2 linked regions of the Lytechinus pictus genome follow. The protein of the gene in region 2 purifies or fractionates together with the protein of the main gene of each other region. This does not show direct contact. Links are inferred from orthologs where the notes say so. Each region holds a gene or a part of one and is shown on either strand. Other genes may lie near its edges.

Region 1 (8,062 bases), on a different chromosome or scaffold from region 2:
TCTTTCTTTCCGCTCGGTCGTGATATTAAGTTTTTATTTCTTGCCCCTTTTCTTTGTTTTCCAATTTAGCTTTTGACTAATTCCATTCTACCTTCATTTCCCGCTATTGTTTGCCATTTTGTCATCTTTTAATTTATTTCCCATCATGCTATTGCACTACATAGTCCTATTTCGGAATGATTTGTTCTTTCTCAAATGTTCTTCTTTCGTTCTTCTTCCCGCTTTCTTTCCTTTTCCATTTCAAAAGATATATATTTTCTTTGTTTTAAATTATTTTCACTTTTCCCATTCCTTTTCCTCCTTTCCTTTCCCTCTTTCCTTCCCCTTTCTCTTTCTTTCTACCTCCCTTTTATGTTTTCCCCGTTTTTTTTTATTTTCCCGGTGAAATCCGCCAGGGGGGCAGCTTGCCCCCCCCCCCCCGCCTGTTACGCCACTGTTTAAAGAATGTGTTTAGAATCAATTTTTATTAACGTTTTGGGAAAACAACCCCCCCTTTTCAAGATTATTTAGCTTAAATATTTTGAAAATATATTTTCATAACTTCTACAACCTTTAATGCTATCATCATTACGTTTTACCAATGTTTTAACTTGGTATTTTTCATCTCCAGTGTATTTATCGTAATTTTAGTAAAACATTTTGTTTCTGAAAATATGTGGGGGTATGATATGTCATAAAAACGTCAAAATAAGGACGTTTGTTGTACATTTCATTAACACTTTGTGAAAACATTTCAAAAATGTTTAGCTATTTTTTCAATAACATATTTTCATAATTTTTCGATGTTATTGTGACACCCAATGCATAGCGTTTTAAAGATATTAGAAAATAGTTGTTTCTAGAAAAATGTTTAAATGATATTTTAAAACATTATGTATAACATTATAAGAATGATGTTAGTAAAATGTATTTTTTCTGAAATAATGTTATATCATAAAAGCGTATATATTAAAGAATATTTATCCTTCTTTTTTAGTGTTTCATAACATTTCAAGAACGTTTTATGTTATTGCTGTAATATTATAACAACCTTTAAAAATATTTTTAGAGCCCATGTTTAACTTTATAAACATGATAGTAAAGTTTAAAAACAGTTGTATTCTAAAGACTCTAAAATAAGGATACATTTTGAAATATTTTTGGCATTTTTTTCAAAAATGTTTTGCTGAACTGTTATAAAAACATATTTTCATTACGTTTCTATTCAGGTTGATGTTATTGTCAGAATATTCTCACAATACTTAATTTTCATTTTTCTTCAAAATGGTTATAGTAAAATGTATTGTTAAGTTTTTGGAAAAAAATGTAAAAATCATAACATAATAACATTAAAAAATATTAAGAAAACATTTTTCAAAAACGTTTAGTTAAAATATAGAATTAACATAGTTTTCATAACCTTACAAGAACGTTTATGTTATTGCTAAAATGGTTATAACGTTTAATGAAATAATGTTTAACATAAGGGGAATAATTAATAACGTTTAATGAAATAATGTTTAACATAAGGGGAATAATTTGTTTCATTAATGCTATGCAAATGTTCTCAAGAAATGTTTTTTGAAAGCATTTCTAAGATCTTTCAAAAATGTTATTATAACGTTGTGTTAGCTGGGATTATAGAGATATACAGTGCGTATCAAAAAAAAGTTTACACTTTGAAAAAGCCCTGGGAATTAAAAAATATACAACATGTGGGTAATTTTTTCACATATAATCTTTGGTTTGGGTCTCTTCTATCCAATGAAAGTAAAAGTTTTGACAGAATGTTACACTTGAGTGAGCACTGTCCATTTTTGTAAAGCTCGCAGAAATCTGTTTGCGCAGAAATGCTCGTTTGTACGCTGTGTCGAGGGGAAAGGGCGAAATCAAACTTACCCTGCGAAACATTTCTCATACATTTCCCTTGCACTTTTAGTAAATTGAAATAAAACGGATACATTTCAGCATTTTCTAATAATTTTGCCACCCAAATTGAAATTTCAACACAACCTTTACCTTTTTTGTGCCAGCTGCATGGATCTGAGGACCAGTGGCGTAGCTACGGGGGGGCCTGGGGGGGCACGTGCCCCCCCCCCTGAGATTTGGTGTGCCCCCCCAAGTGCCCCCCCCCTGAAAAAAATTGGCAGAGCAAAAAAAAAAGGAGAAAGAAGAAAAAACAGGAAAAGAAGAAGAAAGACAGAAGAAAAAAAAGAAGAGGAAAATAAGAGGAGGAAGACGAGTGAATGAAATAATGTGAAGGGAAGACTTGCAAAAAAAAAACAAATCTTTCATGTTACTATATAAAACTTTTGCTTGCGCTTTTTTGCGCCAGAATTGCCTGTTCGATGAAATTCATATCTTGCTCAATAGGCTGATATGGAGCAAGTTTTGAAGTCAAAATACAAAATATATTTTAGCTCGGACATCGAGCTCTCATCAATTTTTTTTCATTAACAAATTTAAGTGTTCTAGCTGTAAAACGTCCCTTTTATAGTCTACATATCAGCATTTTTAAGCTCACGCTGCGTGGTCAAATTGTTTGATTTGCCAAGTTCCTATTGTCTACGTGTATTTCATAATGTTCCATTAAACAAATGTATTCAGACTGCCCAGATTCTAGGTCTAAATCGAAAACATGCGCGATAGCCTGCATGTTCTTTATATTAAATGTACTTAAATTATCCAGTTTCACATCAGAATATCAATAATTGTCTGCTCACGCTTCACGGTCGCATTATTAATGATACCCAATTAACTATATCCTATTTATGATTTACAAAATATGAATAGCCGCTTTTAGGTCTAAAATCTCAATTTTCTTCCTCTCGCGCTTCGCGCTCGCATCAATTGTTTAGTTACATACCTATCCCATTTATTAATACAAAAAGTGCTTAGAATGACAATTTTTTAGGTCGGAATGTCAAAAAATATTTGCTCGCGCTTCGCGCTCGCATTATTGAAATATATACCGTCTTCGTGGGTAACTGTAAGCAGTCCTTAACAGGTCCCTTTTCGATAATGCTAGAACAGTTAATAAAAAGTTCTGCTCGCGCTTGGCCTTCGCAGTAACCATCTAGTTACATACGAATCTTGTTCAGGATCACACATAACATTGCACAGAATATTACATTTTCAGGACAAAATACATGAAAGTAAAAAAAAAAAAATCGCTCGCGCTTCGCGCTCGCACTTTTTATAAGGCTTATGAGATTATTTCATGTTTATGTTGTTCTATAAGAATAAATCTAAGAAGTGACTGATCGGGGGAAATATAGGTGAAGATAATTTCGGGCCCCGTCCCCTATTGGCGAAAGTCGGATCCGCCCTTGTGACACATACACACACAACGGAAAAAATGGTGCCCCCCCTGAAAAAGCAAGGACCCCCCAGTGCCCCCCCCAGGAAAAAAATCCTAGCTACGCCACTGCTGAGGACATAACTGAATCTGAACAAAAGTTTATATCAGACAGTTTTTATCATTTAAAGTGGGTTTACATTTCATTTTTCATTTAATACTTGTTTGTCCACACTTTTCCCAAGCTTGACAATGATTAACAAAATGAAAATCAAGCCTAAGCCATTTTATGTAAATCACAGCTCAGTGTAAAGCAAATTCGTCACGATGGCCTCGGTGTGTGGGGGAGTGGGGTGGGGTGCAATGCACTCCTCGAAGTGGTTTGGGCAAGGAAACAAGTTAAAAAAGGTAAAAGATATCTTCAAATCAATTTTACTAGCTAAATTCCACGTGTTCTTCATGATTAAGGTCAACTTTTATTCGCATATATACCTATTTCAAAGTTCTGCGCAAATCATTTTTCACTAACTTTTCAAAAGTAAGTGGTGCTCACTCAAGCGGAAATATTTTTCGACAGTTATATCATCATTTGCTTAAATGGGGTTAAATGGATCTGTACCAATGTTAAAATGTGGAAAAATCTTCAGGATATTACAAATGTGTAATTTTACAGGATTTTTTCGAAGTGTAAACTTTTTTTGATACGCACTGTATAACAACGCAAAATAGCTATCCGCTACTATCAGAAATGCAGCAATATTGCGTGTCATCAATTTGAGTTGAGAGAGAGCCTATTATACTTCGGCCCAGTGGCGTACCTAGGATTTTTCACAGGGGGGGGGGCAAAACCGTCCACCAAAAAATTTGACAAGCAAAAAAAAAAAAAAAAAAAAAAAAAAAAAAAAAGGTCTTTTCGATCACAAATTAAGGATTTCGTACCAGAAAAAAATTGACAAGCAAAAAAAAAAAAAAAAAAAAAAAAGGTCTTCAAGCTCGTCAGGGGGGCATTGAAGGTCTTAAAGCTCGCCGGGGGGGGGGGGCAAAAAAGGTTTTTCAAGCCCGTCAGGGGGGGCAAAGATACGTTTTTGCATGGGTTGTGACTCGTCAGGGGGGGCAGAGTGCCCCCCCTGCCCCCCCCCCCGTAGGTACGCTAGTGCTTCGGCCTATCTAAGTTCATGCCCGACGCATAAGCCCTTTTATATACTTGCTGGCAATAAATACACACTATACTCTAATAGTAGAGGCAGGGAAATCGGGGGGGGGGGGGGAGACTACCGGGTTAGCGCAAGGGCATCGGACGCGATTTCCCCGGCCCGGCCCGCTAAAAGGGAAGAAAATTTACATATGAAAGAGAGAGACGACGTCTCGTTTTGGTTTTGATTCTTCTCAGAAAAATATAAACCGGAAACCCACAAAGCTACCCTTTTCCCCTTTTCTTCTCTTTTCCTTTTTTTTATTTTATTTAAGCCCTTTTATATACTTGCTGGCAATAAATACACACTATACTCTAATAGTAGAGGCAGGGAAATCGGGGGGGGGGGGGGGGAGACTACCGGGTTAGCGCAAGGGCATCGGACGCGATTTCCCCGGCCCGGCCCGCTAAAAGGGAAGAAAATTTACATATGAAAGAGAGAGACGACGTCTCGTTTTGGTTTTGATTCTTCTCAGAAAAATATAAACCGGAAACCCACAAAGCTACCCTTTTCCCCTTTTCTTCTCTTTTCCTTTTTTTTATTTTGGGGCGCCTCCCCCCCCCCCCCTCCCCCCATACACCCCTGCATGCAGATATGCATTCAAGAGTCTTTTGTTAAAATTTAGGTCTTGCTGTCTGACATGTCCAACACGGGGTCCAACCACTAACAATAATAATATTGATGAAAATCTATACTAGCCAACATTTTTCTAAATCTTACTTGTATTAAACTTCCAATTTTATTTGGGATTTTTTTTTCTTATATAGGAATTACTAATTAGGATCTAACTTTACAGCTGGCCGAACGGCGGCAGCGCATACCGCGGCGGCGCGGGCGGGCAGCGCAGCGGTCCAATCTGCCACCAGTACAGTACAGTAGTTACCACTGATCTGACAGCTGACCGATCGACCTGAAATAAAATTTGAACAAGCGATGTCAGGTGTAACTTCAAGTGAAGCTGATCAGGTAGTAATGATATTCATGAAGTTGTTAGGAGTGGGGGCTACGGGTCAGGAAATCAAAATTTAAATGAATGTAGACTAGTCTGATCGTATTTTATCATGCTTATAATTTTCAACACCAAGCAACAGCCAACAGGAACATGAATTGCAATATGTGGGACTGGACTTGGCATTGACTCTTAGTCTTAAGTTGAGCCTGAGGACTCCATGATGATATTTTTTAATATTTTGACATAGATCTAAACTTCTTCATCATTCATGGAGCCCTGAACCGTCTCCCATATATGCATATATGCATAAGTGAGACCTGGATAGATTTCCCTACTGCCCTATATTTTAGCCTATAAATAATGCTATATTTTAATATAATACACTATACAGGGTGAAATCGGTTTATAATTAATAAGTGAATTTTATTGAAACCTTCAAACGCCTAAAATTTAGATTTTTTATGAAGGTATAAAAATTATTTCACTATGAATGGCAAAAATGAGAGGTTTCTTACCAGAATGATCTCGTGTAGATCCCTCAATCCATTTGCCAACAAAGCAAATACAATAGGTCTGACCCTTGAACCGCTTCGTTATGCCATACCTTCGATTAGCGATGTTCCAAAATGCTGTTTTGAAGAACAATTTATAGATAAAAATTATTATTTAACAAATACTAAAATTTATTACGTGATTATGAATTTTTTTTCTTTAATTCCCTTCTTTTTCTATCTTGGTTGTAGAACATTCGGGGGCCACTGGGCCTAACCCTTCCATCCTGTACCCCAGTGCTAAACTGCTATATCAGCAGGTGGGTCTCGATACCTCTGGATATTTAGCCATTTTAAACCTCATAGATGGCTGCTATTGTTAATCAAATTGTGAGTGTAGACCTAATTATAGAAGAACATTTCGTTAAGGTTTTTATTCTTTTGACAAAAAAAACCAAGAAGGAAAAACAAATCAGTTCTACACCCTCCCTTTTTTCATTTTCCTTTTTCTCTTTTCGCCCCCCTACTTTTTTTTTTGGGGGGGGGGGCACCACCCCCTGGCTAGTACGCGCCTGCCAGATGAAGAGGCGAGCGAGCAAAAATTTTGTCATTACAAATATAAATTTTTTGATAGATTTTGACATAACATTCGGGATGATTGTCGCAATGGTCATTTTGTCTCGCTTAAAATTTGACAAGTAAAAAAAAAGATTGTCACTCAAAATGAAAGCCATTTTGTCTGCGTAATATTTGGCAACCCCCCCCCCCAAAGGTTATTAAAAAAAAGGAAGGTCATTTTGTCCTGCGTGAAATTTTATTTGGCCAGCCCCCCCCCCCAACGGTTTTAACTAAAAATGATCGAAGGGCATTTTGTTTCTAGTAAAATTCGTCATATAAAAGTTAACTATATTCTTCATCATCAATCTCTTCTTCAAAATCATAAATTTTGAAATTTAAATCTAGATGAACTTCTGGGTTTCTTCCATTTCGTGATCGATGTTTTCAGTAACTTTGTGGAGAAAACATACCCTCCCTACAGGTTTTGGATGCAAGTGGAGCTTGATGTGGGATAACCAATCGTGTTTCGCACCAGCATACACGTCATTAAAAATCACCAATTTTGAGGCCGTTATTTACGTGTTCGAAGCACTCAGAGAGGGAACTTTAAAACTATCAATTAACTGAATTTCATCTGTCTCCATGATAAATGAGGGACACCACTATGTTCTTTGATTTTCTGCTTTGATTTGATATATAATTCTCCATTTTGGGGATTGGCAATATATTTCTACTTTATAAAGATTTCAAAATTGAAGTGAATAAACATATTTTCTATCATCCTTGTGCAGGGGGAAAATGATGAAATTGATGTGGTTTCCATGGATACGAAATCCCCAGGAGTTAATAGGGAGGAAGCTAAGTCACAGGATGAAGACATTATCATGGAGACAGTGGATGACCATGATGCAGAAGATGAAGAAGAAGAGTCCTCTAATGTGACCATCATCCACGAGGAGGAAGAAATGAGGGAAAATGTAGATGTAACAGAGGACGAGTCCTTGGGGGATCAGTGTTACTGTGAAGGCAAAGGGGATGGTCCGATGATCTCCTGTGAAAAATGCAAGAAGTCTTTTCATTTAGGTAGGTCAATGAGGAAGTTTTAAATTCTAATTGTTTGATTATTTGTATTTTCATGACACAGACATACTGAACAACATCTTCAATTTTATTTTATTATGGAAAGGAACACAATTTTGTGTCTGGCCTTTTGAAGAGCATAATACATAATACTGAGATTTATTTCTGTCATGTGTGTTATTGTTTTTCATAGCTTGCTTCAAAACTGGCAATCCTACAACTCTAGAAGGGGACATTTTCTTCAAACTGAATTGCAGTACATGTAAGGCGCCTGAAGATGAGACAGTGGAAAGAATGAGATTGACTTGGTAATTTTAATAAGAGTGCTAACAGGATAATAATATGATTTTCTAGTTTTATTGATGATATTTCATTTTCTTGAATTCCATATCTGATGCTAACATGAATACTGTACTTGCAATCTGAGATATAGGCCTAATGCGTGTACTTGTTATCAAGTGGAAATGAGACTAGATAAAGATCAAATCTAAAACAATCAACATGAAATTGA
Region 2 (7,034 bases):
GAAGAAAAGGATTTAGGGATCATCATTGACGACGATCTAAAATTCCACAAGCAAGTGTCAAATGCTGTCAATAAGGCAAACGGGGTACTAATCAGCATCAGACGTACTTTCCAGTGTCTTGATTCGACCACTATCCCCAAACTATTTAAAGGGTTAGTGCGGCCACTCCTGGAATATGGAAATGTCATCTGGTCACCACAGTACATTGCTGATGCTAAGGCTGTCGAGAGAGTTCAGAAGAGAGCAACCAAAGTAATCTCCAGGATCAAACATCTTCCATACAAGGAAAGGCTTAAACACCTGAACTTACCATCCTTGGAGTACAGAAGAAAGAGAGGTGACATGATTCAAGTGTATAAGATCACTCATGAAGTCGACAGGCTTAACCCAGACCACTTTTTTCAGCTAGCTGACAGTACTACAAGAGGTCATAGGTTCAAACTTGTAAAGCCAAGATGCAGAACAAATGTGAGAAAGCAAGCTTTTAGTCACCGAGTAGTCAATGATTGGAACTCTCTCCCAGCTGAGGTAGTTGAAGCTCCCACAGTAGACACCTTCAAAATCAGGCTAGACCGACACTGGAAAGATAAGCATTATGATTCCCACTACTCTTAACTGGATATGAGAAGTCAATTTTCACCAACTTGCCCCACTGCCTCCTTAAACTTATTGAAACTTATTGAAGCATGAAGGAAGCTGACAAAATTAGAAGATAGACCTGGAAGCTCGACTGCTAATTCAGCATTCTTCCAGTATTTGCGGTAAGGTAAGGTAAGGTAAGTCACTGGTTTTTTTTTCCTTTTAAGTTTATTTTTCCCTGTTTTGGTGCATTTCAGGCCAAAACGGAATAATAATCTTTATTTTGGTCCAGTTCTTTTTATATATTTTCATGAAATAAAGACAGAAATCGATGAGCCCCATCGGGGGGACTTTGCACTGTTAGCTCCCTAATGGCAGCTGCACGATCGCGAGCCATCACAGTGTACATACAAAGAGAAATAAAAAATTTAAAAAAATGTTTAGGCCTAGGCGGTAGGCCTACTTTAAATTAAAAAAAACTCGAAACAGACGGCTGCCAGCTATCTTGTCTAGGCAGAAGGCACGGCACAGAATGCCAGAAATATTCCCTGCATTATTTTCAGCCATCATTACATCACGTTAGTCACACTCAAACACTGACAAATGAAACAAATCAAGACAAGACACACTTGTGACAGGCAGTGGAACTGCAGTGCAGTGGAAGTGCTAGTGCCAGTGGTTGCACTTGCAATGAACTAACCCAGAGAGCTCCCGCCCGCGCAGCGGGCGGGAGCCCAGAAGCTTACCGTGTATTTTACCATTGTCACCGGACTAGGGTTATTTATGGTCTAAATATTTCTCCAAATGAATTGTGAAAACGGAAAGTATATATGGATGAAGGTCTAACGAGTGGCAGATTCCTGACATCTGGGCACAGTCTGGAACCTCAAAAAAACGAAAAGTTCTCTCCTTCTACCCAGTCTCGATCGGCCATTTTGTTACAATTTTTAACAAAAATGGCCGATCGAGACGGGGTAGAAGGAGAGAACTTTTCGTTTTTTTGAGGTTCCAGACTGTGCCCAGATGTCAGGAATCTGCCACTCGTTAGACCTTCATCCATATAATCGTGGTAATTCTATACTTTCTGTTTTCACAATTCATTTGGAGAAATATTTAGACCATAAATCACCCTAGTCCGGTGACAATGGTAAAATACACGGTAAGCTTCTGGGCTCCCGCCCGCGCAGCGGGCGGGAGCTCTCTGGGTTAGCAATGAACATGCAGTGCCAGAGTCGCCGATCGACCAGGGCCCGGGTCGCCGGCCGTGCGTACGGTTGCCTGGCTTCGCTTCAGCTAAATAGTAAATGATCGGGGATCAGTCGACTCGAGTCGATCGACTCCGAGTACGATAGCTAATCAGTACAGACTGTGAATGAAATCAAATGACTAATTTTCTATGTCATGAATTTAATGAAATGTGGTAAATACCCACCTTTCACTCAAATGAGAAACATTCTGCAGAATTAAATGCTTGTTTTCATAAAATAAAGTTTCCAACTCGATCTACGTCTGTCGTCTTCGGCCTCCGACTAACTGGTATTGGTAACGTAGATGGCGTATTCCTCTGTACAAGATGTGGCGCAGATATTGTTTAGAACTTAACTATGCAATGAATTGATTGATTGATTGGTTTATTTTATTTGGCAAGTCACCAGAACATAAAACAACAGGCTTGCACAGGATGACCCACGAAAGCTCGAAAGCTTAATTATTTCCAAAAGAAAAATCTAAAAGAGGACTAGTATGGCTAACATGACTCCGATGCATATTAAACAATAAAAATCAAAAAGGAGCAAAAAATGGAATACAAAACTTTTGACTTCAAAATGTATTTGTAGATCGTACGTGGCTGCATGTATGCATGCAGGCGCGGATCCATTATATCCCCCAAAAAACAAAAAATAATAATGATAATACAATGAAATAATATAATTATATGGGCAAGAGAAAGGGAAAGAGGTTAAAAAGAGAAGGAAAATGAAAAAGAATGAATAAAGAAAAAGTGTGAGATTAAAGAAGGTATTAAGGGAAAATGCTAATAAAGAAAAGGACAACAGTTTCATTAAAGAAAGAAAAATAATTAATCGAAAGCGAAATGGAAAAGGGAAGAAAAGAAAAAGAAGGGAGATGGAGGATGGAAAAAAAAAAATGAAAGGAATGAATTTCAAGAGAGGGTGGAGAAAAGACAAGAAGCCTATAGGAAAAGGAAGAGGGTGAAGAAAAGGGGAAAGGCGGTCAAAGGAGAAGCAAATTAAAAGAATGGAAACGGTATTTACATGGTTGAAAGGGGAAAAAAGGTAAAAAGGGGAATAAAATTTGAGAGAGCCCCTACCCCCTTGATGATTTCCATCAAATATATGGAAGATAAAAAGAAGGGAAAAAAGAAAATGAAGTAAAATTAAGCTCCACCGAGGGGTGCGAAAATTGCCCTATATGGCTCCCGAGATGCCCCTGCATGCCTGCCATCTTCTCACGGACAATGACAAAAGGAACAAGGAAAATAAGTGCATGGAAGGGAAATTAAAGGAAACTTTAAAAAAAAATGTTAAAGGTCAAGTCCACCCCAGAAAAATGTTGATGTGAATAAATAGAGAAAAACCAAACTAGCATAACGCTGAAAATTTCATCAAAATCGGATGAAAAATAAAAAATTATTTATGACATTTTTAAAGTTTTGCTTATTTTTCACAAAACAGTGATATATGCACAACTAGGTGAGTCAGTCGTTGATGTCCATCACTCACTTTTGTTTTTTATTGTTTGAATTAGGCCTATACAATATTTCATTATTTATCTATATGACAATAAGGACCAAAGGGGGACCAATTTGACTGAACCATGTCATTAAACAATGCTAATTCTACATGTTCAGGGAGGAATCAATCGTTGTATCACTTGACAATGAGGAGAAAATTAGAATATATATAATAAAATACAAAAGAAATAGTGAGTGGATGACGTCATAGTCTCCTCATTTGCATACCAGCCAGGATGTGCATATAACTATTTCGTGAAATTAAGCGAAACTTTAAAATGTCATAACTTTCTTATTTTACACCCGATTTTGATGAAATTTTCAGTGTTATGCTTGTTGGATTTTTCTCTTTTATTCAAATCAACTTTTTTGTTAGGGTGGACTTGTCCTTTTTTAATTGTGCCAAGTGTGGATATTAATTAGACCAACTGGTTATGAGACGAAATGGTTATTAGACGAAGTGATGATTGGACCAAATGGTTATTAATGGACCAAATAGTTTTTAGACGAAATGTTGATTGACGGAATGACATTTGGTGAGTGGACGAGTTGGCAGCGAGTATGCGAATTGGCAATTTACCATGCATTGAGATCACGCACGCACCATCATGACGTCATCTTCGCGGGAATCTCTGAAAATAGGTCACTGGCAAATTTTTAAGATCGGTAAGAAAGACCTGTGAACTTGAAGATTTGTGATTTTATACATTGATTTCGATTCTTTGATAGTTGATCCATTGAGAAATGATTCATTCTATATATGTGTGAATGATAAACTCTTTGATTTGAGCTTAAACTAAATTTTTATTGCTTACTAGTGCGTTGTTTGGAAGATGAAAAGAATTTACTGACAGTGATTGCTGTGAATGGGACTGTAGTGTAGATGTTCGAGTAGCTTATTACAAAAATACACACTCGTCTAACGTTAGCTCTGTACTGTAGACTGTAACAAGTGTAACCGTAAGTTGTATGATGGGGGGACCTAAACTAAAGCTACGGCTACGCGCGCACTTTGTTTTCAAACGATAAAAACTATGCCAATTTTAATATTTTAACCATTTGTCTTTCACTAATTTGTAATTAATATTCTCTTAACCAAGAAGAAAATATCACAGAACTCACTAAATTAGTATTTAGACTTTAGTAATGAGCATGATCGGTTAAGCCTTAGTTAAAGGAGAATGAAACTCTTGGAGCAAGTTAGCTTTTGTGAAAGCAGAAAAATCAAAGAATAAGATCAACAAAACTTTGAGTAAAATAGGACTAGCAATAAAAGAGTTATGAGCATTTGAATGTCGAGATCACTAATGCTATGGAGATCCTCTCATTGGCAATGCGACCAAGATCTGTGATGTCACACACGTAGAACTCTCCCATTTGGACACTGAAAATATACCCCAAAACATCTCTTTTTGCTCATTCTAATCATATGACAAACGATTCATCAATGATATAATGTTGTGAAACCTCTGTACTTGTCATCTCATAAAGAGAACACCTCACCTTGTGATAGACTCTATAAAAGTGAGAATATAAGTGAAATAAGTACTAAAGTATTGAGGGAGTTGTACGTGTGTGATATCACAGATCTTGGTCGCATTGCCGATGGGAGGATCTACATGGCACTAGTGATCTCAATATTCAAATGCTCATAACTTTCTTATTATTCATTCAATCTTCCTCAAACTTTCAACAATATGTTTCTTTGATTTTTCTCTTTGATATGGATTCAGATGGTTTCAAGGGTTTCATTCTCCTTTAAGGGTTTTTTTTTTTTTTCTATCAAAATTGCTTTTAAGATATTCTTTGATATCTCAGGTTTCAAAGAACTCGGTTTCATGAAGATTGATGAATCCGAAAGTACTGGAATAGTCCATTTTATTCGTGGGGGTGCTATTACCTCTCATCACGGACGGACATTTTTACTCAAATCAAATTCTCTCTAGTTTTATGGTTTTTAAAGTTATTCTAATTTGGTTTGGATGTTCTTGCACTCTAAACATTAATCTATAGTATTATCAAACAAAAATTAGTAGAAAAAAAATATTGGGAAGTAATTTTTTTTGGTAGGTGTGAACATTTCCATTATTGGTCAAAGTTAAGCTATTTAGATAGAAACAATAAAAATGTTCAAAAATTCTGAAAACCACATTTCTATCATGTCCGTCCGTGATATGGCACATTTAGTGGCTACCTATGTTTGTAGGTAACCATGGCAACAAACTTTTTTCATCATTCAGCATACTTTGTCCTAAGTAACCCTTCACTATAAAACAAAAAGGAACCATGTTCATCTTATTCCCAATTTGTTACAAGCCTTCAAAGTTTTCAAAATCTATCAAATGTCCGTCCGTGATGAACCGATCACGCTCTAATACGAAAAACCCGCCGTGTTTTCCGAACACCTCTTGTCTTGATTTCGTCGCCGATGTAGAAGGGGTCCTAAAGTAAGCTACGCACTCGATTTATCATGCAAAGAAATAGTATTTCCTGTGCCTTAATTTCTAAAATATGTTCGTATTATTATAGGGAAATATGAAATTAAAGTGAACATAAATAAAAAATTCCAAACATTTGCTGGTTTTCTCTGCATTCAAGAATTTATTGCAGCCTCTGTAAAAAAATTGAATAGGATCGTTCGTCACTCTGCAGTCACAGCTTCACACACAGAGCTCGAGTGCGCATTTATTTTCCCATTGAAATTGCATGCGCGATGGAGTGGTGCGTAGCTTTAGGACCCGCGCAGCTTTAGGAACCCCTACCATAACTCGGTACGTGCACTAGCTAACCCAGGGCCAGGACTCGTCCGTGTAATAGTAATACTAGTCAAACATTAGACGGCTGGCAGCCGTCTGTTTCGAGGAGTTTTTTAACATTATTATTATTTTTTGAATTTCTCGTACACAGACGGCTCGCTATCGTGCATGTGCAGCCAATAGGGGGTTAACAATGCAAAATTCCCATGTCGGGGCACATATTTGTCTTATTTCATAAAGATATATATAAAAAGAAAAACTAGATTTTAATTCGTCATGCGGACGAATTAGGTGGTCTGTCGTATAGAAAGATAAACAGGAAAAAAAATATTTAAACAGATATTAGATTGAAAAATAGATAGACAAACAGATTTACATATTCAAACAGATACATATAAGAAAGATAATAATATATATAGATGGATGGAGTGATGGATGGAGAGATAAATGATAGGTGGTTATATTAATAAAACATAGACATATAGATAGATAGAGAGACAGACATATAGATAGACAGACATATAGATAGAGAGACAGACATATAGATAGATAGAGAGACAGGCATATAGATAGATAGATAGAGAGACGATAGGTGGTTATACTAATAAAACATAGATAGACATATAGATAGAAAGAGAGACAGACAGACAGATAGATAGATAGATAGAGACAGACATATATATAGATAGAGAGACAGACATATAGAGAGATATAGAGACAGACATAGATAGATAGAGAGACGGACATATATATAGATAGAGAGACAGACATATAGATAGACAGAGAGACAGAAATATAGATAGATAGAGAGACAGACAGATAGATAGATAGACATATAGATAGATACAGAGACAGACATATAGATTGATAGAGAGACAGACATATAGATAGAGAGACAGACATATAGATAAATAGAGACAGACATATAGATATATAGAGAGACA

The links.
Region 1: the proteins of DNA polymerase epsilon subunit 3-like (region 2) and cysteine-rich protein 2-binding protein-like purify together in Drosophila melanogaster (affinity purification with mass spectrometry; 4 studies listed by BioGRID). This does not show direct contact. The link is inferred for Lytechinus pictus from reciprocal best matches to the Drosophila melanogaster genes Chrac-14 and Atac2.

What each region holds. Positions count from the first base shown.
Region 1 is NC_087247.1:43,280,730-43,288,791, forward strand, and holds the start of cysteine-rich protein 2-binding protein-like, read left to right. Parts: upstream 1-5,043; 5' UTR 5,044-5,403; coding exon 5,404-5,436; intron 5,437-7,262; coding exon 7,263-7,554; intron 7,555-7,744; coding exon 7,745-7,859; intron 7,860-8,062.
Region 2 is NC_087259.1:11,821,782-11,828,815, forward strand, and holds the start of DNA polymerase epsilon subunit 3-like, read left to right. Parts: upstream 1-3,923; 5' UTR 3,924-4,000; intron 4,001-7,034. UniProt on the Drosophila melanogaster protein: Accessory component of the DNA polymerase epsilon complex. Participates in DNA repair and in chromosomal DNA replication. Histone-like protein which promotes nucleosome sliding of ATP-dependent nucleosome remodeling complexes.